Linked DNA regions of Mus musculus. The protein of the gene in region 3 purifies or fractionates together with the protein of the main gene of each other region. This does not show direct contact. Links are inferred from orthologs where the notes say so. Each region holds a gene or a part of one and is shown on either strand. Other genes may lie near its edges.

Region 1 (3,962 bases), on a different chromosome or scaffold from region 3:
CCCGGAATGCCAGACCGACTAGTAAGTTGGACATGACTCTGTGGGTATTATCAGTTGCCACTGTAGCTGTTGACATGTATATTGGGTTAACATTTTAAAGTAAATCAATGTAACACTGTTTTTCCAGAGTCTTGGGTAAGATAAAAATGCAGTCTTACGTCCAAAATTTTTGAATTCTGGTGAATCTAATAAACTGACCTAAGTTCCTAACATTGTTACTTCTCTTATACAGGGTTGTTTGCATAGAATGGTAAACCTTGTTCTCTAATGAAATAAAGTACTGAACAGGTTGACTTATCTACAGATTTCCTTGGCAGCTAATTTTAACTGGTAGTGTTGGCACATTTCCTCTCTCCAGTGGTTTGCCTGCAGAATGCCAGTGAGGCGTGCCAACAGTTCTGACTGTATGTTATCTACAGAAGTGTGGGCGAGAGGCAGTGATGTGGATGAAACATGTCTGCTGCAATTTTTCTTGCTGTCAAAATTCTGTTTGCATATTATGTCCTTCTCTTCATTTATAAGGCAGAAAGCAAAAACTGATATTTTGAAGTATCTCTTCCACTCATTTATTTGAAACTTCCATTAGGGTTTTAAGTAATATATTTCTTTGCAGTTAATCAACATTTTAATGCTCTATTTCTGTTCGACAAGAACACTTCTGTTTGACAAACATGGTGTGGCACATCATGTTTGGGATCAGTTAGTGATCAGTCTCTGCCAGTGCCTTACAGGTGTGGCAACCTCTCCAAGAACTTGGATTATAATTCAATGATGCAAGAGGGACTCGTACATTTAAATATCTTCTTGTTATTAAGCATCTTAGTGAGAAGACTAAGGGAAGAAAGTTTGTAGCAGTGTGGTGAAGAAACATGATGAAATGTTTTATCATGCTTTAAAACAACAACAAATCAGTAGCTTGCTTGTGTGGCATCTTGTCAAAATCATAACAGGATCATTTAGGGCACCCCCTTTATTCCTTCTTATACTAAGTCTGTCTTGTAATTATTTTTTAGGAATAAACCAAGGAATTTATAATTTATGCTGTCACTCTAGCATGCGCAAGAATACTGGGGCACAGTTAGACACAGAACAGGGGCCAAATGAATCCCCTTTAAAACAAACAAACAAACAAACAAACAAACAAACAACAAACTTCCCAGGTGCATTAAAGCTCTTTACCACTTAACAAAATGCTGAACTAGTAGAATATCTTAACATCCAAACTCAGTATTCCATAGAAGGCAGTTTCTTCCAGTGTGCTACAGAGAGGAGGAAGTTTATCTTCAACAGTACATAGGAATTTTGGACCAAAAGTTGATTCAGCTACAAGTAATGTGAGCATTGCAAACTCCACACCGGTGTCAGCATTTTCATTCCTCCCCAGAGATGCCCAGCTGATAAGCAAGGGAAATACAATATCATGATTGCTCTGATATAAGCTGCCTATTCAGTTTGAGTTAAAATGGAAGGACCTACACTTTGCTGTTACCACTCCACGTCATAAAAAATTGGCCATTACATTTGGAAGGAACCTCCGAATGTCTACTTCACTTATTTTCAAATCAGAAAACAAGTGCAAATTGATTGTAGACCTCCACAATAATAATAACTGGTAACTCTTGATTTTTTTTTTTCTTGGTTGTTTGGTTTTAGAGACAGGGTCTGTCTTTGTAGCCCATGCTAGCCTTGAACTCAGATTCTCCCCATCAGCATCCTGGGTGCCGCAACAGGCATGCGCACCTGAGTGCTGGTTCTTTTAAAGTGGCTGTGACTTTCTTAAGTCAAAAGACAAAGGTAAATAACAGAAATCACCAACTCCTAGGAGGCATGGGACTGCCCTCTTCTCTCAGACTTCAATACAGTTTACAAAATACCTATATGGCCAAGTATCTGGGACATTTATTTTGAAGTTTCCTTTTTCAGATTTGGAGATTTTCAGAAATATAACAAACACATAAGAATTTCCTTCAGTTATATATTTTGGAATTTCCATCCATCCAACTGTACCCCTTTCATTAAACCACAAGATCTGTAAAAATCCTAGACATACTCTCTAGTCCATCATTTTTGTTAAACCAATTGAAATACTGAGGCCTAGAAACAAATGAGAATTCAATTTAGACACAAATTACGGGAGGCAAAAGAGTGCCTAAGTCAAATACAACATTGAGTTCCTAAATTAAACATCAGATTTCCTAAAACGGACGGATAAAACAGATTTTTCCCCCTCTTTTCAACGACATGGAATTTCACATTATACACAGCACCTAAAACCAAATTAATAATTGCATATTAGTGGGGGGCTATGATCATAAAATGGACGTCTGACAACACTAGCTCACTTTTTTTTTTTCTCTGTGAAATATGAAACGCTATTTAGATTTGTCCACCTGGTCTTAAGAAGTTGCGACCCAAGATTAAATGTAAAAGTCAGCCCCGTAAGTCTTTAAAAGAGGTCAACGATCTTCCTCTGGGCTGAAGTCATCGCTTTTGCTTACCCACATACCTAGGATGCTGGGGCGGCTCCTTCAAGTCACTGGGTATGAGGTTATAAATACTCTCGGAAGTGCAGGGTGAGTCCATGGCCACCAAGGAATTCCTTAACAAGTACTCAGCTTTTTGGCTCACTTTCCCACTGTCTCAACTCCTTCTCTCACCGCCTTTTTCTTTTCTTACTTTCTTATCAAAGAACTAAAATTTCTCTTTCGTGTAATTTCCCTTTGACCCTTTCGTAACAGTCCCTTTTTCAGGAAGAAAATAATTCTGCTCCGAGTCTGTTTAGCGTTGTTGACCACGTGGTTGCTAAGGAAACAGTTGCTAGGAGACGGGGCAACCTGGCTTTTATCTGATTCCTTTTTTGTAACCTCTTCTGTCTGAGAAAAACGTAAGGAAAAAGACGTTCCTGCGTCTTTGGAAAAGACGACATGAAAACATTGTCCCCCCCCCCCGCACCCAAACATTTTGTGGTTTTCCTCGGTACATCTGGAAAGAAAAATTCTACAATAGGGAGCAGGACAGACACGCACGCGTCACATAATAGTTTCCAACATTCAGGCCGCGCCCCTGCGGAGGTGGAGCGATCGACGGGGAAGGGGAGGAGCCTCGGGGTAATGGGCGGGGCGTCTGGGTTACGTGGTTGGCCTAGTGGCGCAGCGCGCAGTCAGCGCAGGCGCAGAAGCAGCAGCTTGGGGCGGGCTTGCCGGCTGAGGTTGCCAGGCGGTGCCGAAGGCGCTTCCCTTTCTCCCTTTCTCTCTTTCCTCTTCTTTGGGTGGTTTTCTTGGTGAGTTAATGGAGGAGGAATGGAAAGCCAGCGAGAGTTGTTACCCTAGCATCCCCCCTTCCGTCGTGCCCCATCAGGCCTCTCTTTGCCATCCACCTGTCGCACCGGACCCTGCGGCGGGCCCTGCGGTGCTCTGTCTCCACGGTGCGTGCGCGAGCGCTACCCGGCGCCAGGAGGACCAGCCTTTGGAAGAGGGCCTCGAATTTTGCCCAGGTTTCAGCCCTTGACTCCCTTTTTGACATGTTTTTGTTTTTTTCCTCTCCGAGAAGTGCTTATATTTCGTTTGAGCTGTTTGATCTCCCGTTCATGCATATGCACTTGTGATTGCACTCTCATTTGAAAGCCTTCACCCAGTCACATCCTTTGGCCCTGGGATTTGGGAGGAAATTTCGTGGGTCTAAATCCACTTGGCAGTTGCCCTGCCAGGGAAGTCAGGTGCATCAGTTCTTCAATTCTCACTGCCTGGTGGCTGGGTTAAATGGCCTGGTGGCTTAGTGAACTTTTCAGTCCTCACTTGGAAGGCCTCGCTCAATGCAAGTCGTGATTGGAGGCTTCTGCTAAATTTTATTCGATAAGAATAAAGAAACAATTTAGTTTCCCGTTTTTCGGTTTGATAGAATTTATCTATTTTTTTTCTGGGCAGCCCACGGTTCAGATGAATAATCTTTTGGGGTGGGGTGAT
Region 2 (3,500 bases), on a different chromosome or scaffold from region 3:
AACCCAGTCCTATTCAATTTATGTCTAGGTTAACCTAAAATAATCCTCTAATGCAGAAGAGATAGAACTGGTTCCTAGACAGAGGCCTGCTTGATTCCAGATAGTGTAGTAAGTATTCCTCTGTGAATCTTGTTTCTAGGGACCTCATGTCTTGGATCAATGGAATACGAGGGTTGGTATCTTCAGATGAACTAGCCAAGGACGTCACTGGAGCTGAGGCTTTGCTGGAGCGACACCAGGTAGGTCCTGCTGGCCTAGTGGCCTTACCCGTCCCCGTCTTGGGAACCAGGGCTTGACACTAGTATGGGCATCTTCAGCAAGTTATCTAATCCCTTTACTCCTCTTGGCAGGAACACCGGACAGAAATTGATGCCAGGGCTGGCACTTTCCAGGCATTTGAGCAGTTTGGGCAGCAGCTGTTAGCTCACGGGCACTATGCCAGCCCGGAGATCAAAGAGAAACTTGATATTCTTGACCAGGAGCGCACAGACCTGGAGAAGGCCTGGGTCCAGCGCAGGATGATGCTGGACCACTGCCTGGAGTTGCAGGTATGTACACTATGTCTCATCAGGTATTTTCTTACAAGTGGCCAACTCCTCCTTCACACCTACTTGTCCACTCTGTAGCTGTTCCATCGGGACTGTGAACAAGCAGAAAACTGGATGGCTGCCCGGGAGGCCTTCCTAAACACAGAAGACAAAGGAGACTCGCTGGACAGTGTGGAGGCACTGATCAAAAAACATGAAGACTTTGACAAAGCTATCAATGTCCAGGTAGGTCCTGGACCTCGAGGTCCTAGTCTGGATTTGTCCTGAGTCACATCTTATTTGTAGCCAGGAGTACATAGTGAGAATCTTTCCCTTAAACAAACAGGTGCAGTAGAGTACTGCCTACTATGCTTGAGGGTCCTGGGTTCAATCCCCAGTTCTGCAAAAAAGCTCACACCAACTAAGATTTTCATACCAGTTACAAAACAGAAACATTATATTGGGCTGGCTACATGGCTTCCTGGTTAAGAGCACAGATTTACTACTCTTGGAGAGGAATTGATTTCAACTCCCAGCATCCTCAAGTGGTTCACAAGTACATGTAACTCTAGCTCCCGGGGTGCTTATGTCTCTCTCTGCTGCGGGCCCCCACACTCAGCGTTTACATGTGCATGAACACATACCTGTAATGAGAAATAATTTTTTTAAGAAAAAGTATATTCTGTCATACATCCAATGAATACTTTCAATGAATGTTGTGAAAATGTGTATATGAAGAACTATTTTTAAAAATGGGCCATATGTGGTAGCACATCTTTATTCCTGCAAGTACTGAAAAAGCAGAGACATGTAGAGTAGACATATGTCTGGAGGTTGAGGCTAGCCTGGCCTACATAGCCAGCTCCAGGCCAGCCAAGGCTACATAGTGAGACCATGTCTCAAAACAATAACAAGAAACCTCGAAATAGCAGCTTGGTGTAACACTCCTATAATCTCAGCATATGGGAAGCTGAGGCAGAAAGATGGAGTTTAAGTCTGGGCTATGTGACAAAACTGTTTCCAAAGAAACAAAAAAGGAAAGTTTACAACCCAGGGTTAGAGCACTGTTGAGTGTGCTGCAGACCCTGGGGTCATCACACGGTCACAAACAGCGAGCGCTTAAATCCTTGGGTGAAGCCGGGTGTGGTGGCCCACGCCTTTAATCCCAGCACTCGGGAGGCAGAGGCAGGTGGGTTTCTGAGTTCAAGGCCAGCCTGGAACAGAGCAAGTTCCAGGACAGCCAGGGCTACACAGAGAAACCCTGTCTAAGAAGAAAAAAGGGGCGGGGGGTCCTCAAATCAGTTCTGTATTATGGAATGATGACACAGCTGGAGCTCCCTGGTACAGTACTTGCCTAACATGAAACTTGGGTTCAGACCACAGCCCTTCAAAACATAATAATGGAATAGAAAAAGTTTAAGTTGTTTATGAGTATTTGTGTGCAGGTTTCTAAGTATACATAGCATGTGTGTGCAGTTCCCTCAGAAACCAGAAGATAAGTAAGTGATCCTGTAGGAGTAGAGTAGAATTATAAGGAGCCACATGGTTGCTGGGGATAAAACCCAGGTCCTCTGCAAGAGCGGCAAGTGCTCTTAATGGCTAAGACATCATTCCAGCCCCCCAGATTTGTTCTATTTTGTATTTTGAAATGGGGGTCTTTCTGGATAGTCCTGCCTACCCTGGAAGTGGCTATTTGAAACAGGCCTTGAACTCACAGACACAAAGATCTGCTTGCCCCTGTTGGGATTAAAGGCATGTGCCACCATACCCAGCCTCCCTTCCCCTTCCCCCAAAAAAATATTTTTTGTAAGATGTATTTATTATATATGAGTACACTGTCATTGTTTCACTATCTTCAGACACACCAGAAGAGGGCATTGAATTCCATTACAGATGGTTGTGAGCCACCATGTGGTTGCAGAAATTGAACTCAGGACCTCTGGAAGAGCAGTCAATGCTCTTAACCACTGAGCCATCTCTCCAGCCCCCACCCCCAAAATATTTTTAGGGCAAAATATTATGTTTTGATAACATAATTCACTAAAACAAGGAACAAAATAGATAGCTGTAACTTGAAAACCATTTTGTTGAAAACAGGGCAGTGATCATTTTATGATTCTAATTTGTTAGACATCTGCTGGTGTCCCTACACTTGCACACCTCAGTATGACCTTAAGTCCTCTTGAATTAAACCCTACTCTAGTAATGATGATAATCAAGCTGGCTTCTAAAGTGTCGATGTGTTCCGATCCTGCTACCAGTTAGTTTCGTCACTCAAAGTGTAACTATCTCCTCTGAAAACTATCAGGCTGACAGGCTTTCTTCAGCCCACCCTGACCTCTTTGCCTGTTGCCTTTAGGAAGAAAAGATAGCTGCCCTGCAGGCCTTTGCCGACCAGCTCATTGCCGTTGACCACTATGCCAAGGGAGACATTGCAAACCGACGCAATGAGGTCCTTGACCGGTAGGTGTCCTGCGATGGTGACAGTCCCCAGCTCTGAGAGGATGAATGTCCACATGTGAGAAGCCATACCTATTCCAGCTTCTTCTCTTATTGGAAAGAACACTCATATTTGGTCTTCACACTCAGGTGGCGCCGCCTAAAAGCCCAGATGATTGAAAAAAGGTCAAAACTTGGAGAATCTCAAACACTTCAGCAGTTCAGCCGGGATGTGGATGAGATTGAAGCCTGGATCAGTGAGAAGTTACAGACAGCCAGTGATGAGTCATACAAGGACCCCACCAACATCCAGGTAAGGGGCTCCTAGGACACTTGTTCTGAAGTGCCTTGTCACTGAGTAGAGCTGTTAAATGGGACTCTTTAAGGGAGTACACCTATAAAACTGTGTGTTCCATGATAAAGCTTAGAAAAAGTCCACTGGGTCAGTAGAGCCATTTGAAAGCTGCTCCCTTGCTAGACTTTGTCGAAGCTATAACCTGTCTAATGGAGCTGCCCCTGTGCTGTTCCCATGCG
Region 3 (3,500 bases):
CTAAGTCTTGGGCCTATAAACAGCGCTGTCACGGGCATCTTTATGCACGCGTAGACGTGGTTTCCGTGCAGCGTAATTAAGCGAATCAGAGGCCTGTTGCATGTTGTACCAGACTGACTTCTAGGAAGGCTGTACCTGCTTGTACCCCCTCCCCAGGTAGCAGGTCGTCTCTAGAGCTTGCATTCCAGAGGTGAGGGAGCTTCTAGGGGTGGGCCAACTCTGCCTGTGTCTCCTCTCCCAGGTCAAGCCCCTGTTGAACTCAATAAGACATGAGGATGAGCTGTTAGCCAAGGAGGCGGAACTGACAAAGGTTCGAGAGAAACATCTGGCTGCAGAGAACAGGCTGACAGAGATGGAGACGATGCAGTCTCAGGTAGGTGTCAGTCTCCACCCATCAATCCCAGCTGCGCTCAGTGCTGCCCCCTGCTGGTCACCGTCAGGCCGGCTAGCTTACTGCTTAGAAAACCTTTGCAGTCAAGTCCAGTGGGAGAGCAGTTGTCAGCCGGGAGCCTGAGCCATAAGCACCCACCCTGGAGCTACTTGAGGGGTACACACCAGCTCTGTTGCTGTGACAGTGTGCCTAAGATAAGTCACTTAAAAGGGCTGAAGAGACTCAGCCTGTGGTCAGGCCCCTGCTGAGGCCGAGTGCCACGACAGAGAGTGGCGGAGCAGAGCGGCTCACTTCTTTGTGCTAAGGAAGCAGAGGGAAAGAAGGGGCCAGGACTCCAATATTCCCTGCAATGATGTGTGCCAGTGGCCTCTGCTCTACAGCTCTCAGCAGCTAACAGTGCCAGCCACTGGCAAACAAGCCTTTCGTGCCAGCCTCGGGGGACATTTCTTATCTGGACTACAAGGAGGCCGCAGGGAACTTAGCCTTTGCACGTGTTCTTTGCAGCTCATGGCAGAGAAGCTGCAGCTTCAGGAGCAGCTGCAGGCGGAGACAGAGCTGTGTGCCGAGGCTGAGGAGCTCCGGGCCCGTCTGACAGCGAAGAAGCAGGAGCTGGAGGAGATCTGCCATGACCTGGAGGCCAGGGTGGAGGAGGAGGAGGAGCGCTGCCAGTACCTGCAGGCCGAGAAGAAGAAGATGCAGCAGAACATCCAGGTACCCCTGCTCCTGCCGGGCAGGGCGGGCACAGTGTGGGCAGCCAGGGGCACAAGATAGGCACACAGGTTCAGTTACCACATCAGCCTTCTTTGTCCACCTGTTTGCGACAATCACTCAGTGTCCACGGCTCACATCTCCGTGAGCGCTACCCATTGAACGTTGAGGCCACTGAGTTTCTCTCTCTGGTCCTTCCTCCATCAGCCTTGGCACAGGCCTCTTTGTGGCACCCTGGGAACACTGTTGAGACTATGTCAGTCATGTGCCCCAGTTCACATGCTGGTTTCCTGAAGAGGGATCAGACGTGTGTGTGTGTGTGTGTGTGTGTGTGTGTGTGTGTGTGTGTCCTCCGTCCTTCTCACGTCTCCTCTCCCTTTAGGAACTTGAGGAGCAGTTGGAGGAGGAGGAGAGCGCCCGGCAGAAGCTGCAGCTTGAGAAGGTGACCACCGAGGCCAAGCTGAAGAAACTGGAGGAGGACCAGATCATCATGGAGGACCAGAACTGCAAACTGGCCAAGGTGGGGCCTGCTGTGCATGCAGTCATGGAGAGGGTGGGCAGAGCAGGGCCAAGACCTGCCTACCTGCCCGATCCCCCGCGGTGCCGTGGCTCTGTCCAGCAGCACAGTCCTCCCGGGCACACAGGCCCCTGGGCACCAGCACCATGTGCAGAGGACTTTTCTCATGAATGAGGAGGTTGCGGCAGGGGCTTGCCGTTTTTCCTTGGCAAAGGTCTTTACCAGCTTTTAGGATTGAGGAAACTCCAGATGGCAGCCTCTTAGTAGGGCCAGGGGTGGGGCTGCTTGTCCTTTCCCTAAACTAGTTGACACCTAGAAGTCTTTCCTACTTGACCCCAGGAAGTCTTGGATACCCACATTTGTTGTGTCTATGAACTTGGCCAACTCTTTAAGGCCCTGCCTTACCCTTGATCCATACATTTCTGGTTGAGTCTTCCTTTGGAAGAGCTAAAGTATGTACCTAGCCAGCACTGAACTCTGACATTCTTCCTCCACCTCCAGGAGAAGAAACTGCTGGAAGACAGAGTAGCTGAATTCACTACCAACCTCATGGAAGAGGAGGAGAAGTCCAAGAGCCTGGCCAAGCTCAAGAACAAGCACGAGGCAATGATCACCGACCTGGAAGGTGAGACGCTCTGGCCGTGAGCATCCTGTCCACGCAGAGCACTGAGCCCTGTGCACTCATAGGCGAGCCAGGCTCAGCCTAGGGCTAGGCCATTGCCTTAAGGCAAGGCTGTCAGGCTTCAGGGGCGCTATCTGGTTCTCCGGGAGTCAGGGCTGCAGGCTCACTGCTGCATGGCCGGACGGTTGCCTGTGTGAGGGGTGATAAGCATGAAGCTTTGATATGGCATGTGTTGGGCACAGCCATTTTAGAAGCTGTAGGACTTTTGACAGCAGTGAAGGGAAGAAGGAAGGAACCACAAACTCCAGGTGCTGTGTTGCCATGGGGACGCGCAGGCCTTGGTAGCTTCTGGGGTTCTGTTTCATCTCAGAATTGGAAGTGGGCGTGTGCATGGTGTCCCTTTAAACAGTCCATGTGTCCTACAAGTACATAGTGTTTGGTTTCATACAAGTAATTAAGGCTCCCTCCGTGTCCCTTCCTGCCCTTCCTGGCAGAGCGCCTCCGTAGGGAGGAGAAGCAGAGGCAGGAGTTGGAGAAGACCCGTCGCAAGCTGGAGGGAGACTCCACAGACCTCAGTGACCAGATTGCTGAGCTCCAGGCGCAGATAGCAGAGCTCAAGATGCAGCTGGCCAAGAAGGAGGAGGAGTTGCAGGCTGCCTTGGCCAGGTGAGGCTCTGCTCCTAGCCAGTGTCGCACGTGCAGTGGCTTCCCTCTCGTCTCATTTTTGGTGCTGAGCCATGAGCGTGCTCTCTTCTTCTGTGTCAGAGCCAAGAGCAAGACACTTCTGATCCACAGACAGTGTGTTCCAGAGTGTTTAATCTTCACAAAAGCCATCTACAGCCCATTCTCTGTAGTCCTCCCTCTCCTCATTTCCTGTAGTCCTTCCTTCCCTCCCCATTCTCTGTAGTCCTCCCTCCCCATTCTCTGTAGTCCTCCCTCCCTTCCCCTTTCACCCATTTCCTTTCCCACTTCCCCTCTATGGTCTCCTGTCCCCTGCTCCTTCCCTATTTTGTGGCTATAGGCATATATTAAAAGTCATTTTTTTCTCTTTAATTTTTTTTTTTTACGTTTACCTGTTGGGGGTGGGGGGTTGCCTAAGGATTATGTGCTGTGCTGCACATGTGGAGGTCAGAGGGCATTTTGCCTGAGTCCTCTTCTGCTATTTGTGGGTCCCAGAGATTGAGCTTAGCCCTCAGGCTTGGTTGCAAATCTGCTGAGCCATTTCAGTTCCCTGTGTACATTTCTTTTTAAATAGCAACTTT
Region 4 (3,960 bases), on a different chromosome or scaffold from region 3:
CCCTCTGAATAATTCCACTATATATGCATGAAAATGAGAGTGAAGATACTGCAGAAAGTCTTGATTTTGTGAAACCTCCTGAGAGGGTTTCCTGAGCTGATAGCATGTGACCACAGTTTGAGGATCTGCCTGGTGTTTAAGGACACAGCTCTGGAACTAGGTCTGCCGTGCTATGGCACATCCTAGCTGAGGACAAATGATTTCACATTTCTGGCTCTCAGTTTCCCACATTGTTACTCATGGGCCAAAAACAATACAGTTATCTGCTACCCAAGGCTACTATTTAAGTCCAGCAAGTCACTTAAACTGGACAGACTCAGTATTTGTTATGCTTCCAACAAACACACAGATTTGTCTGGTAACTCTAGTTCAGGAAGCTGAATGTTGAAGTGCATGCCTGTATTCCATCACTTTGGAAGCTGAGGAAGGAGGATCAAGGCAAATCAATTGCCAGCCTGGGCTTCATAGAGTTGGAGGAAATTCTGGGGCAATTTAGCAAAGTCCCTGTCTCAAAGATAGAAAAGACAGATGACACACAGACAATCACACAGAGAGCCACACCCTAGTTCAGGCTCTCAGGAGATGATAAACTATTTGAGAAAAAAACCTTTTATTTCATGTATATAAATGTTTTCCCTGTATTCATATATGTGTACCTTGTCCATTTCCGCTGATCCTCAGGAACCTGTGTTATGGATGGTTGTGAGCCACCATGTGGGTTCTGGGAATTGAACTCTTTCTTCTGCAGGAGCAATGAGTGCCCTTAACCTCTGAGCCATATCTCTAGCCCATACATTTGGTTTTGATGGATGAGAAAGGTAATTCACGTTAGGCTAACAAAAATGCCGCTTTCATAGTATGGGTTTGCAGTTAAAGGGGCAACTATTTGCCCTAAGCATCCTTTGTGAGGCCCTAAACACATATTTGCTCATTTTGGAAACCTCTGGCCTCCACCAAAGGACCATTTCACCTGGTGTTAGAGAATTCCACAAGGCACTAATGTCTTAGTTCCAAACAAGAGAGTTAACCCCTGGTATTGGTTGCAGAGACCACAGACCACCACCCAATTTCCGCCAAATGGTGACGTTTCCAAGATGGCAGTAGCCCCCTGATTGTTGGGGGGCTCTGCTTCCGTTTCCGGGACAGAATCCGGAAGTGCCAGTTGAGGGTCGTCTTCCTATCTTCAGTTGCGTCGGCAGTTGGAGGAGGACAGACGGTGATGGCGGCGGTCGCAGCGGACCCAGCTGCAGCTGCCGTCCCGGCCTCTGCTGAGGACCGAGACACACAGCCCGAGGCAATGCCAGACCTGGATGAACAGTGGCGCCAAATCGGGAATGGGCGAGAGCGTCCACTGCGAGCTGGCGAAAGCTGGTGAGGCTGGGCTTCAATGAAGCCTTGGCCAAGGGGACCTTGGGGGCGTTAGTATCGCGGGGTACTTAGAAATCAAATTCTGAGGATGAAGCGGTGCGAGGCTGGGAAGGGGCTTGGGCCGGCGGGAGAGAGGGGGCGTGGAAGTGCTAAGTGAATGAATCTCAACGTTTGGGGGAAAAGGCGGGGCCCGAGTGGGGCAGTCAGCCGCCTAAGGACAAAATGGGGTTTGTGATAGGGGTGGGGCGTGAAGGGGATGGCCGTGGGAGTCAGGGGACTGCATCGTTTGGGGAGGGGGTGAGAGGGGACTGCGTCTTGGAACCTGGAGCCTGGAAAGGAGGCTGGCTCCGTACTTAACGCGGGGGCGTGGCGTGTGTTACAAAACGTTGCGTCGGTTGCAAGGAACGGCCTACAAGTACTCGAAGCGCCTGTGAACCCGACGAGCTTGGTGGCGTCCGCTGAAGAGCAACTCCATAGCCTATAGCTGTGGGCCGAGGGGCGGAATAGTGTGGTATGGGGAGGGTGCCTGGCTCCTGGGAACAAGGCGAAGGGCTGGGGAGGGGCAAACTGTGGAGGAGGGGCAGTGCCTGGGGCAGAAAATGGCGCCTGCAAAAGAGCAAAGATTGTGACGCGGTATTTTTTTTTGTTGTTTTTGTTATTTTTTTAATACCCCTCTAGTTAAGGTCTCCTTCCTAGAACAGGAGAAAGTGCAGGTGGTTTACAAAAGATTATTTGGGGAGTTTTTTTTTCCACGTGATAATATTTTTGTAATCAGAAATGGCTATTTAAAAGGGATCCACAGCTTTTAACAAATTGTCTTGTTAGACCATTTTTTTTTAAATGCTAATCAATGCCTCTTAAAATTTACTGCTCCCCGGGTTCCTATTTCTCTCTTGAGTTGCTGCTCATTTTTAATTGTGAAAATCGTAAGACCTACAAAGATTATAGTATAAAACGTTTTACATAAATGGACATCCTGCTGAAAGAAATGGTTTGTATGCTTCAAAAATGGCAAGGTCATGAAAGGCATACGCTGAAGAACTGTTCCAGATTGAAGGAATTAATGCAGTTTAACAAGTCTATGCAACACGTGATCCTCATTTGGATCTAGCACAGGAAAAATAAATTATTTTTAAAAATGAGGGTTCTTTCTCATAATTTATTTCTCTTTCACTGTAAATTTTATTGGAAAAAAAATCGGTGAAATTTGACAAAGGCCAGTAGATAAAATACTGGTACTGATAATTTCTTGTGATAATTGTAATGTGGTTATGAAAGAATATCCTTTGGTGAAAAAATACATACTGAAATTTCATAGATAAGGAGCCATCGTGTAAACAACTTACCAAATAATTATATTAAAAATGCACATGGGAGGGAGAAGATTATGGAAATATTGGTCATAGGATGTAAAATTTAGTTAGACAAAAGGGAACAAATTCAAGAGCTCCCTTGTACAAAATGGTGATTATAGCTAATAACACTCTATTCTATACATGAAAATTGCTTAATAGATTTTACATGTTCTTACCCAAACAAACTGTGTGACATAATTGGTTTGTTAACTAGTTTGATTTAGTGTTTTACAATGTATATATCAAAACATGCTGTATACTATCAATGCACACTTTTTTTTGTCTAGTTTAAGATAAATGAAAATACCCCAAAGATGATATGGGGAAAAAAAGAATAGAACAAATGGATAAGGTGTGTTAGATTTGGGGACTCTAAGGGCATACAGAGAAGTCTTTATATTATTCTGCCCTCTCTTTTTAGAGGCAGGGTCTCTATTATGTGGTCCTGGCTGTCAGGGAAGTAACTATATCAGGCTGGCTTTAAACTTAGAAATCTGGCTGAGATTACAGGCATACTCCACCATGCCTGGCTTTTTAAAAACCCATTTTCAGTGAGTTTACTTCAAAGAAAATTTAGTAAATTTTATATGTGGATTAATCACTCATGTGAAGATTCAGAACATTACCTTAAAACTCGTATGCTTTTCCCCTCCATCTTCATAGGAAACTGTTATCCTAAATTTTGAATTAAAGGGCTCTTTTCACATTTCATTATCATAATAAACTTCCAATATTCATATATATGTGAATATACACATATATATGAACATGAGTGTTTGTGAAATAGACTGTGAGCCCTTATATTCCATGGTAAATAGTATCTGTATGATGTAATTTGATACATTAACCTTGACCTGTTGGTCTGCCAGGTTTCTCAAGTGTTAAGATGCTGCTGTTCCCTTAAGCAGTAGTTTCTTAAATACATATTTAAATTTTATTTATATTTTCTGTCCATCTGTACCTCAGGATATCCAACAGCTTCTTGTTTCATGCAGTATAAATGGTAAAGTCCTCAGTGACCTGCAAGGCTTTTGGAGACTGGTACCCCTTCTCCATTCTAACATTTCTCTGATCTGATTATCAGCCCCCAGGCCCTTCCTCTCTCCATCAGGGACACCCACATTAGACTATTGCTGTTCTTTACATTTAGGGCCTTTTCCAGGTTTTCCCACTTTACAAAGTTCCTAAACAACACTGCCAGTGAAATGTGTATACATTACTGGGGAGATAAATTACA
Region 5 (4,300 bases), on a different chromosome or scaffold from region 3:
CCTCTCAGCAACAAAACAGTTTTATCTGTGTCCTCCCTCTTCTTTCTCATCGAATAAGGAAAACAACATGGATATTTTGGCCAGAATCTGCAACTATGTTCTAATAAGCTGTCATGAAATACCACATAAACATCTCCACAAATAGATACATTTGAACACTGGATACTCAGTATACCAAACACTTCAAGAACACAAGACTCTTTTTTTTCAGCACAGATTCCCCGGGAAAGACTGACAGATACTGACACATTTTAAATTATCCTAAAAGGGTATCCTCTTGTACTCTTAAAAATAATAATAATAATAATAACAAGTAATAAATGCAATGCCACCTCAAAATTAAACTTAAATGAGGAGTCAGTGACAACACTTAACTTAGTTTGTGGCAAAATGACAATACAACCTCAATCAAAAGTTGAATCTCCTTCCAAGTTACCTTTTGATTAAACAAATTATATGGTGGCAGATTGGTAATGTCAAAACAGGAAGGTTAAGAGATAACACATTAAACCACTTGAAAACAATGCACTTAGAGATGCGACTGCTGCGGGATATTTATCAGCTTCCACCACCCCTAGACGAGTGAGGGATGGATGCTAGCTTGCCTCCAACGGCAATGTGGGTTACCAAGCAAGTTCATCCCCAGATTCAAAAATACTTTGTGTAGTCACACGGGCAAATAGGAAATATTAGGAGGCTGGGGCATTTAATATCTCTATTTTGAATACAGAACCCTGATAACCTGAGCTAACTAAGATAAACTCCCTCATTCCAGAAGACAAGGACTCGGCAAATGTACATCATGGTTTATTAATCAAGCCTTGTCCTCCTCTTCTTTATTCAAAGGGATGGGCAAGCGAACGCTTCTTCCATCGCTTAACCCGGAGGCACTGGAGCACTTGAAAAGACTACCAGCAGCACGGAGAACGTAAGAAAAGAAGTTTCAAATCCAATCAGGCAAATAAAACTAATATTCTCTCAATCCAAGGTTAATGAGGCGGGGGGAGGGGGTACGGGAATGGGAGGAGGAAAAGGAGCCTGCCTCTTCTTGACTCAAGGCTGGTTTTGCCCTTTTCCACGACCACTGACTGTTCTATCAGGTCTGTTAGTGTAAGATCCTGGTATTTCGAGGTTTCTTATCTAAATGGTAAGGTGGAGGAAGGGTGTAAAATAAAATCGATACTCACTGCTAACTTTCATGCTACCAAAAGCTGAAGGCTGCTGCACTGGCTTGCAGCTCTCCGCAAAGGAGGTGGTTCTCGGTCGCCCCGACATGATGGCTCTTCTTGAATCACCTTTTCCTTCCTTAATCCTTTTCTTCCTTTTGTTTTATGTTAGGGTGCTAGGTTAATGATAAATGCAGCATTAAGTTCTCCCGCAAGAAAGAGAAAGAAAGACTTCGTTCTCTTGGCTTTTCACTCCTTTTGTATAGCTATTTAAGAAGAAGGAAAAAAAAAAGGAGCTATGTATTTCTTCAAGACAGATCGGTACGGATATTTAACACATAGATGATTTAGAGCTGGGAGAAAAATACAATTCTTTCACCTCCCTTTCCTGGAAGAGGAGAAAAAGGGTGGAGTGGAATCCTTAAAAATATATATATATCACGTGAACGAGGGCAAATACTTGATTGAAAATAAGTACTCTGAGTATTATATTTTTCCTCGGGGATTTTTTTCCGAGTCAATGAAGAAGGGAAGCGGCGGAAGGATCACGAGCCTCACGCTTGAAGAGAAGGGGGATGGGAAGGAGGGAGGAGATGGCTCGGAGATGCGACGGCAAACGCTGCGGCTCCGGCAGCAGCGGGATCCGGCGGTCTGACGGCGGCGGCGGCCGGGTGAACCGGAGGGCAGCGCAGTCGCGAGTCAGCGGCGGGCGGTGGCGGCGGCTCCTCTCCTCATTGCGCCAGGAGCAGCTGCAGGCGGTGGCTGGATCCAGCGGCCATGGCGGCAGCGGCGGCGGAGGCAGCTCCCTTCAGACCCCAGGCAGCGGCTCCCTGACTGCTCCCCATACGCCGGGGACATGGGAACCAGGCAACCGCTTCCGTCCCTCGGGGTCCCCTCCCCCGTCCGTGGCCCCGGCACGGCCGGCCTCCGCCCCTCGCCTTTGCTCAGCGGCTGCTCGGGAAGTGTCCGCGCTGTGCCCGGAGCCCGAAGCCCTGTCAGCGGCTGCAAGGCCGGCTCCTCCTTGCTGCCTTCCTTCCTTTGTCACTCGGCCCAGGCGGCGGCGACGGCGGCGACACAAGCCCGCATTCGGCCGGGTCGGGGGCTGCTCTGTGCGAGGCGCGCCGTCTGCGCAGCCGCCTAGCCCTTCCCCACTCCCCCTCCCCCTTCCTACTCGTCCTCCGCCTCCTTCCTCCCCCACCCAGCCCTTACACCGCCCAGCGCCCCGCCGCCCGCGTTACAGGCGTCTGGGAATCGCTCGCCGAGCCCGCGCCCGCCAGCTTCGGCTGTAGAGCCGAAACCCAAGCCGGAACCAATCAGAGACGTCGCTTGCTTGCAGCTCCTGCCGGAAAAAGCCGAGCGACCTGGATAACCAATGAGGAGACGCCGCTGGGAGACCACGCCCCAGCAACGAGGAATGCCGAAGGTAGCCGAACAGAAGGGAAGAGGGTTCTCCTTGTCCTGTGGCTGGCTAGAGAGAAGAGTCGACAATAGCGACAGTGGCCAATCAGAGCTGTTGGCCCTCAGGGAAAAGCCTCAAGAGTTAAGGACGGCGAAACTCCCGAGTCGCGGGAGGAACTGCACGGCTGGGCGCCGCGCCCGTTTCCTCATTGGCTGGACAACTCCGCTGGGCGTGTACCTTTCTCGGTGATTGGTGAAGGGAAGGGGGCTTCCGAGGACATCGGGCCAGTCAGAGCCTCCCCTCCCTCTTTGAGGCGGGGAGAAGAAGAAAGCGGAGGGAGGGCACCTATAAAGTGCCATCTCATTGGTCTGCAGCGTCGAGCTGGAGCGCGGGGGGAGGGGAGCTTCGAAAGGGAGAAGGAGGGTGCAGGAGCCCGTGGCGGCGGCCAATAGGCGCTCACTGCTGTGCAATCGCAAGACCTAGCTGCAGTGGGATTGGCCTCGGGTGGTCCCTAAGCGGGCGGACGGGATGAGTGGTCGGCCTGCATCTGCTTTCCGAGCCGACGCTCGTGCTGGCTGTGCAGCCCGGTCCGACAATGCTGCGGTCGGAGGGTCGGGCCCCGAGCGCTCTAGTGGGGCGTGAGGCCGTCCCCATTCCCGGGAGCTCCGCGGGGCGCGGCTTACCAAGTGCGCCCGAGGCTCCCCACCGCGCGTGCTGAGCCTATGAGAACGTCTATTCTCTGAAAGACGTAGGGCGCCGTGGCCGGGGCCGAACCCTCTAGCGCTTAAATGGGAACAAAGCTTCCAGAGAAGGAGAGCCTCTGGGCAGCCGCGCCCGCCCATCGCGGGGGGCCGCTGATCTCGTGGGGGGGGGGGGGGGAGCCCTTTGCAGCAGGCGCACAAGGCCAGACCAGGCCTTCTGGAAACGCCCCCGAGAGATGAGCTCATGCTAGATGAGCGCGGTCCATGGGCGCGACTGTCCAGCGCAAAAGCAGCCCCGAAAACAGGTGAGGGGAAATGTGGTCAGGACAGTACCTCGAATCCTAGGAGGAAGCTCAAGTCAGAATTGCTCGCAGCAGTTTTTAGTGTTATTGGATGATCAGCACACTGCTGCCTAAGTAGGTTTCACATGTAGTCCAGCGTCCATTGTTCTACAAAGGAGACCATTGCCTTGGTCCATCCGAGAGCTGTGTGGCGTGGCTACTACGACTAGAGTAAGTTAGAGTGGACACTGGCAATCCTGACTGTAATCCCGTGATACTTGTAATACCCACCCGCATAGTCATCTCTTTCTGTTGAGATGCTATCTCCAGAAAGCACATGTAAAAGTACACGTACTTGATCAGATTGCTTAGCTATTGCTTTAAAATCTGATGAGGGACTTGGGACAGAACAAAGTAAGCTTTGAAGGGAGCCAGTAAAGGTCTGGATAGTGTTTGCAGACTCAGATGTCTGTAGAGGCCTGGCAAATAAAGCGAATGACACCGGCCTGGTGGAAGACAATAGGAATGTTAGATGATGTGGAAACGGGAGTTCCATCCATGCCCTTAAGGGGGTCCACCATTAAAATAATCGTATTCTCCTTTTTTTTTTTTTTTAATTACCAAAACCATAACGTTGAAGTTTTATGTGTGATCTCTAAATCTGACGTGTTGGCAACCGATATGCCGAAACCACGTAGACCAACAAAGTAAAAAATCCCAGGAAAATGTGCCCGACAGGCAGCCAATTTGTAA
Region 6 (4,156 bases), on a different chromosome or scaffold from region 3:
TATATTTTTATATTGTTTTTCCGTATTTGAAAGTACTTAAAAGACCACCTCTTAAAACTCATCTCCAGTTGCAAAAATCAGAACACTGATGTTTTTAATAGCTGCATATAAATATAATATAAATCCATTAACAGTAATATTATCAATAATAACAAACAAACCTAATTAGAATAAATGATAATATACCAGTAACCATTCATTTAAGGTGTTGGTTTTTTTAAAGGACATTTGAAAAGATCATCTTAAGCTCTTGAACAGAAAAAAAAATAGCTATGGCCAATTAAAAAGAAAATGTTCATAAAAATTGAGAGAAACAATTATTACTGCAATTATTTGAGGGAAGACACAAATGTTTAAGAAATACAACTGAATAAAATTTACATGTCAGAGACATTATAGATACCTAATGAATGCAATGTTAAAAAAAAAAAAAAAAAAACGAATCAAATAGAATGAGTTTTGTCTCAGGTAGAAATCACATTTTTCTAATTTAAAACCATAAAAAGGGTAAATAGCCGGTCCTGGTGGTATACATTTTTAATCGCAGAACCCTGGAGACAAAGCCAAGAGGAGAGTTAGACGTCATCCAGCGATATACCATAAGACCCTTTCTCAAAAAAAAAAAAAAAAAAGGGTGATGGTGGCTATTTCAGGGATAAAAAAGCCACCTACAAAACCTGCATACAAAAGGAATTTTCTAAACTCAAAGTTAAGCTCCTCAGTTATATGAAGAGCAACATCCAAAGAAGTATGTGTATACCACTTCACAACACACCATGCAAGGTAAATATTGACACAAATTATTTCACAACCTACATTCTGATTTTGAAAACAAAACTACAAGTCATCTCATCTTTATTATGTGCTGTATCTTTCTTAAACGATAGACTGCGAATTGTTGAAGTTCTCATTTTTATTACAGATTCTGATACATGGCTTTTTTGTAAAGCTAAGTATTTATGGATTTACAGTCATCCTTACTTAGGCTTATCAGCAATACAGATGCAGTATCCACTTCCTTAAAAGTGCAGTAAGCAGTCTATTTAAGAGGAGAATTTAATACTAAAGCAATTTCTGTCATACATAACAAGACAAAATTTTCCTTTTATCTCTCCTCAATTCTAAATTTACATAATTTACCAAAAAGATATCTTAAGAGTATTAACTAATCTGAGGTGTGTCAAAAACATTCGTCGTGTCTCTTGTCCAATAGGGCTTTGATATTTAGCTTTTTAACAGCTGTATTTCTTAAAGTTCAGGCCATCTTTATTTCAAACGCACTTCCCTATCCAAAACATTTTAACATAATCTGCTGCTTCTCCCAAAACCATGGGTTATACGAATATCCTTCACGAAGTAAGATAATGGTGGATAACACATCCCATATACTATTTAGTTAACATTTCCAACAGTACACTAGCTATTTAACGCAATCCCAAAGAGATTTTATACTGTTCTATTTTAGCATGCTCAAAAGACATAAAAAAAATTGACGTAAAATTGTCTTTAGAGGATTCTTCTAAAGCTGATAAAGTCTTATTAAAATTATACTTTCTATTTTTAAGGCTAACGCAATTATAGCACATTCAACTCTGATTCTTCCAACAAAAAGCCTCCGCATCAAAATGGGGAAAACGTCCTTTTCATTTTCTCAACTGAAAAGGGGGAGGGGAGAAGAGGAGGAGGCCAACTGCTTACAGGTTTGCATTGAAAATTAACACAGCAGTTTCTGAGGAATCAGTAACTCACGTTCAACTACTGAATCCTACCAGAAGCAGCACACGAATAAAACCAGAGCGCAATCCTTGGGCTTGAGGTGCCGCTTCATCCGTCTTCCTTCCAATCCACCCCCAATACCCCAACCCACTAAGCACACATCTAAATATGTCTTCCCCACCAGAGCGCCCCTTTGGAGGAAAAGGCCTGCCTTTCGCAGCCTGAAGCCACGGCTGGCTCTCCGATCTCTGCTTAGATGAGGCCCCCGATCTCGACGCCCTGCACGTCCGCCCCACCCCGGGCCCACTCGGGTACCCGTGGGTGACAAAACCCTCCCTCCTGCGTCCAGCCAGCACTGACAGTTAAGGCTGCAGCAGCCGCAGCCACCAGGGCCTAGTCCTGGCACCGGCCCCTCCAGACCACGCGCCCCAAGCACTCGCTCACGGAGGCGGGTGAGGGCCCGGCGCCTACCCTGTCAGCGCGGGCCGGAGGGTGACGAGGGGACCGGCGGTACAGACCAGAGGGAGCGCGCCGGGCAGGCCGCAGCCGCAGCAGCACTGACCTGTCCTCGCCCCCGCGCGTGGGCTGCGGCCCTCGCAGCTGCGGCCGCCTCACTGGTCCTTGTCGCCCTCGTCCACCGCCGCCGCCCGCCACCGCCTCGTTCCCTTTCGCTGGCGCCACCGCCGGGTCTCATGCGGGACCCGCGCTTCTCCTCAGGAAACCGAGGCCGAGAGGCCAGGCGCCTGGGCAACCTTGAAGTCGGCGCTGAAGCGCTGCTGTCGCGATCTGTCCACAGTGGGGGGCGAGGGCGGCGAGCAACTCCGAAGAGAAGCAGAAGGAGGCGCCACCGTCAGCGACAGGTCGACGGAAGAGAAGCGTAACGAGGCGGTGAACAGCTGCGTGGCCCGGTGCGCGAGCGAGAGAGCGAGCGCAGGAGGGGCGACGAGGTGCTGGCAAAGACGAAAGGCCCTGTCGTCTCCTGGAGTCACCCAAAGAGGAGCGCCACCATCTTGGGAGAAATACGGATCTCGCGAACGCAGCACTGGACGAGAGGACTAGGTGGGCGGACCGAGTATCCCGACAGGCAGCGCGCGCCAACCCTGCCGGGCGAGGGCTCGGAGTCCGGAGGCGGGATGCGAGGCGGGGTTGCGCGTGCGTGGGATGGCGACGGGCTCTGCCCCGCCCCGATCGCAGCTCTGTGGGGCCCTCCTCTAGCTCGCCTTCGCCTGCGGCGCAGGGGCCTTTGGGAAGGGGAGATGGCCTTGGGCTGGGTGGAAGCTGGCCAGCATCGTCGCCATCTTGAGACTGGGCTGAGAGAGGCTTGGTGTTTTTAGCCTCTGCTCCTTTTACTCAATCTATAGACCAGTGTGCTTCGGTGTACTCGCGAGAGCGGACAGGTCTACCCAGCCTAGCAAAGCCCAGGAGTCAGAGGGACGAATAGGCCAAGAGGGTGTAGCCTACTGGCGGCACGAGGAGGCATAGAAGCGTTTTGTTGCTAGAGCTGACCCTTACGACTTTTCATCCGAACTGTCCGAGTAAAGGATTCAGGCGTTGAGATTGGGCAACCTTTCAGCAAACAAGGCCATCAGCCTCTGCCAGAACATGATATGTCACTGGCTTACCAGACTAGTAGGTAAAAGCCCAGCCCCTCCTGTGTTGTCTTCCAGTAGATGTCAACTGAGAAGAAACCGCCTTGCTTGATCACACGTGGATAGAGACTAATTTTGATTTACAGAACACCCGAACCCTGTTAGAGCCATGTGACTTGTTGGTACCGGAGTGAGGGTTTAACTTAGGTTTGTTGTTAATGATTTTGACACTAAATTATTATAAAGACTAGCTGACATGTTATTTCCTGGCTTGCAACTTAGTAAGCCTTAATCATCTAGTGCTCAAAATGTAACAATCACATGTATTAATGTGCTTTTCTGTTTATTACAGCTCCTATAATGTGTGTGTATGTGTGTGTATATATATATACACATCATATATATATGAAAGATCTCCCCACTATAAAAAATATTTTTATTATTGGTTTTTCAAGACAGATTTCTCTGTGAAGCCCTGGCTGTCCTGGAACCCACTCTGTAGACCAGGCTGGCTTTGAATTCAGAGATTCGCTTTCTGAATGCTGGGATTAAAGGCTTGCAATTTTTTAAAATTAAAAAATAATAGGCGTGTGTGTGTGTAAACTATTACAGGATAAATAATAAGTGCAACTGTTATATCAGATTTTAAGATACTTTAAATTTTTTCTATTCTTTTTTTTTCTCCATCCATTAAAGATCCTCATTTGGAATACCATTGTATTATATGAAAGGGGCCAGTAATAAATGTAACCCTTTAAAGAGTTATCTTTGCAAACTATTTAAATACAAAACCAAAACTGAAAATCATTAGACTGCTAAGAAAAGTAAAGTACATAAACTGTTGCAGCATG

The links.
Region 1: the proteins of Myh9 (region 3) and Enkur purify together in Homo sapiens (affinity purification with western blotting; 4 studies listed by BioGRID, with this or other methods). This does not show direct contact. The link is inferred for Mus musculus from reciprocal best matches to the Homo sapiens genes MYH9 and ENKUR.
Region 2: the proteins of Myh9 (region 3) and Sptan1 fractionate together in Homo sapiens (co-fractionation; 3 studies listed by BioGRID and IntAct, with this or other methods). This does not show direct contact. The link is inferred for Mus musculus from reciprocal best matches to the Homo sapiens genes MYH9 and SPTAN1.
Region 4: the proteins of Myh9 (region 3) and Usp11 purify together in Homo sapiens (affinity purification with mass spectrometry; 3 studies listed by BioGRID, with this or other methods). This does not show direct contact. The link is inferred for Mus musculus from reciprocal best matches to the Homo sapiens genes MYH9 and USP11.
Region 5: the proteins of Myh9 (region 3) and Gsk3b purify together in Homo sapiens (affinity purification with western blotting; 4 studies listed by BioGRID, with this or other methods). This does not show direct contact. The link is inferred for Mus musculus from reciprocal best matches to the Homo sapiens genes MYH9 and GSK3B.
Region 6: the proteins of Myh9 (region 3) and Ube3a purify together in Homo sapiens (affinity purification with western blotting; 3 studies listed by BioGRID, with this or other methods). This does not show direct contact. The link is inferred for Mus musculus from reciprocal best matches to the Homo sapiens genes MYH9 and UBE3A.

What each region holds. Positions count from the first base shown.
Region 1 is NC_000068.7:21,202,566-21,206,527, forward strand, and holds the start of Enkur (enkurin), read right to left. Parts: upstream 2,801-3,962; 5' UTR 2,584-2,800; coding exon 2,507-2,583; intron 1-2,506. UniProt on the Homo sapiens protein: Adapter that functions to localize a calcium-sensitive signal transduction machinery in sperm to a calcium-permeable ion channel.
Region 2 is NC_000068.7:30,010,560-30,014,059, forward strand, and holds part of Sptan1 (spectrin alpha chain, non-erythrocytic 1), read left to right. Parts: intron 1-139; coding exon 140-239; intron 240-350; coding exon 351-548; intron 549-626; coding exon 627-773; intron 774-2,886; coding exon 2,887-2,990; intron 2,991-3,116; coding exon 3,117-3,279; intron 3,280-3,500. UniProt on the Homo sapiens protein: Fodrin, which seems to be involved in secretion, interacts with calmodulin in a calcium-dependent manner and is thus candidate for the calcium-dependent movement of the cytoskeleton at the membrane.
Region 3 is NC_000081.6:77,772,676-77,776,175, reverse strand, and holds part of Myh9 (myosin-9), read left to right. Parts: intron 1-241; coding exon 242-373; intron 374-895; coding exon 896-1,102; intron 1,103-1,481; coding exon 1,482-1,619; intron 1,620-2,117; coding exon 2,118-2,241; intron 2,242-2,732; coding exon 2,733-2,904; intron 2,905-3,500. UniProt on the Homo sapiens protein: Cellular myosin that appears to play a role in cytokinesis, cell shape, and specialized functions such as secretion and capping. Required for cortical actin clearance prior to oocyte exocytosis. Promotes cell motility in conjunction with S100A4.
Region 4 is NC_000086.7:20,702,749-20,706,708, forward strand, and holds the start of Usp11 (ubiquitin carboxyl-terminal hydrolase 11), read left to right. Parts: upstream 1-1,160; 5' UTR 1,161-1,219; coding exon 1,220-1,371; intron 1,372-3,960.
Region 5 is NC_000082.6:38,087,501-38,091,800, reverse strand, and holds the start of Gsk3b (glycogen synthase kinase-3 beta), read right to left. Parts: upstream 2,801-4,300; 5' UTR 1,276-2,800; coding exon 1,188-1,275; intron 1-1,187. UniProt on the Homo sapiens protein: Constitutively active protein kinase that acts as a negative regulator in the hormonal control of glucose homeostasis, Wnt signaling and regulation of transcription factors and microtubules, by phosphorylating and inactivating glycogen synthase (GYS1 or GYS2), EIF2B, CTNNB1/beta-catenin, APC, AXIN1, DPYSL2/CRMP2, JUN, NFATC1/NFATC, MAPT/TAU and MACF1.
Region 6 is NC_000073.6:59,227,394-59,231,549, reverse strand, and holds the start of Ube3a (ubiquitin-protein ligase E3A), read right to left. Parts: upstream 2,801-4,156; 5' UTR 2,279-2,800; intron 1,861-2,278; exon of another isoform or gene 1,750-1,860; intron 1-1,749. UniProt on the Homo sapiens protein: E3 ubiquitin-protein ligase which accepts ubiquitin from an E2 ubiquitin-conjugating enzyme in the form of a thioester and transfers it to its substrates.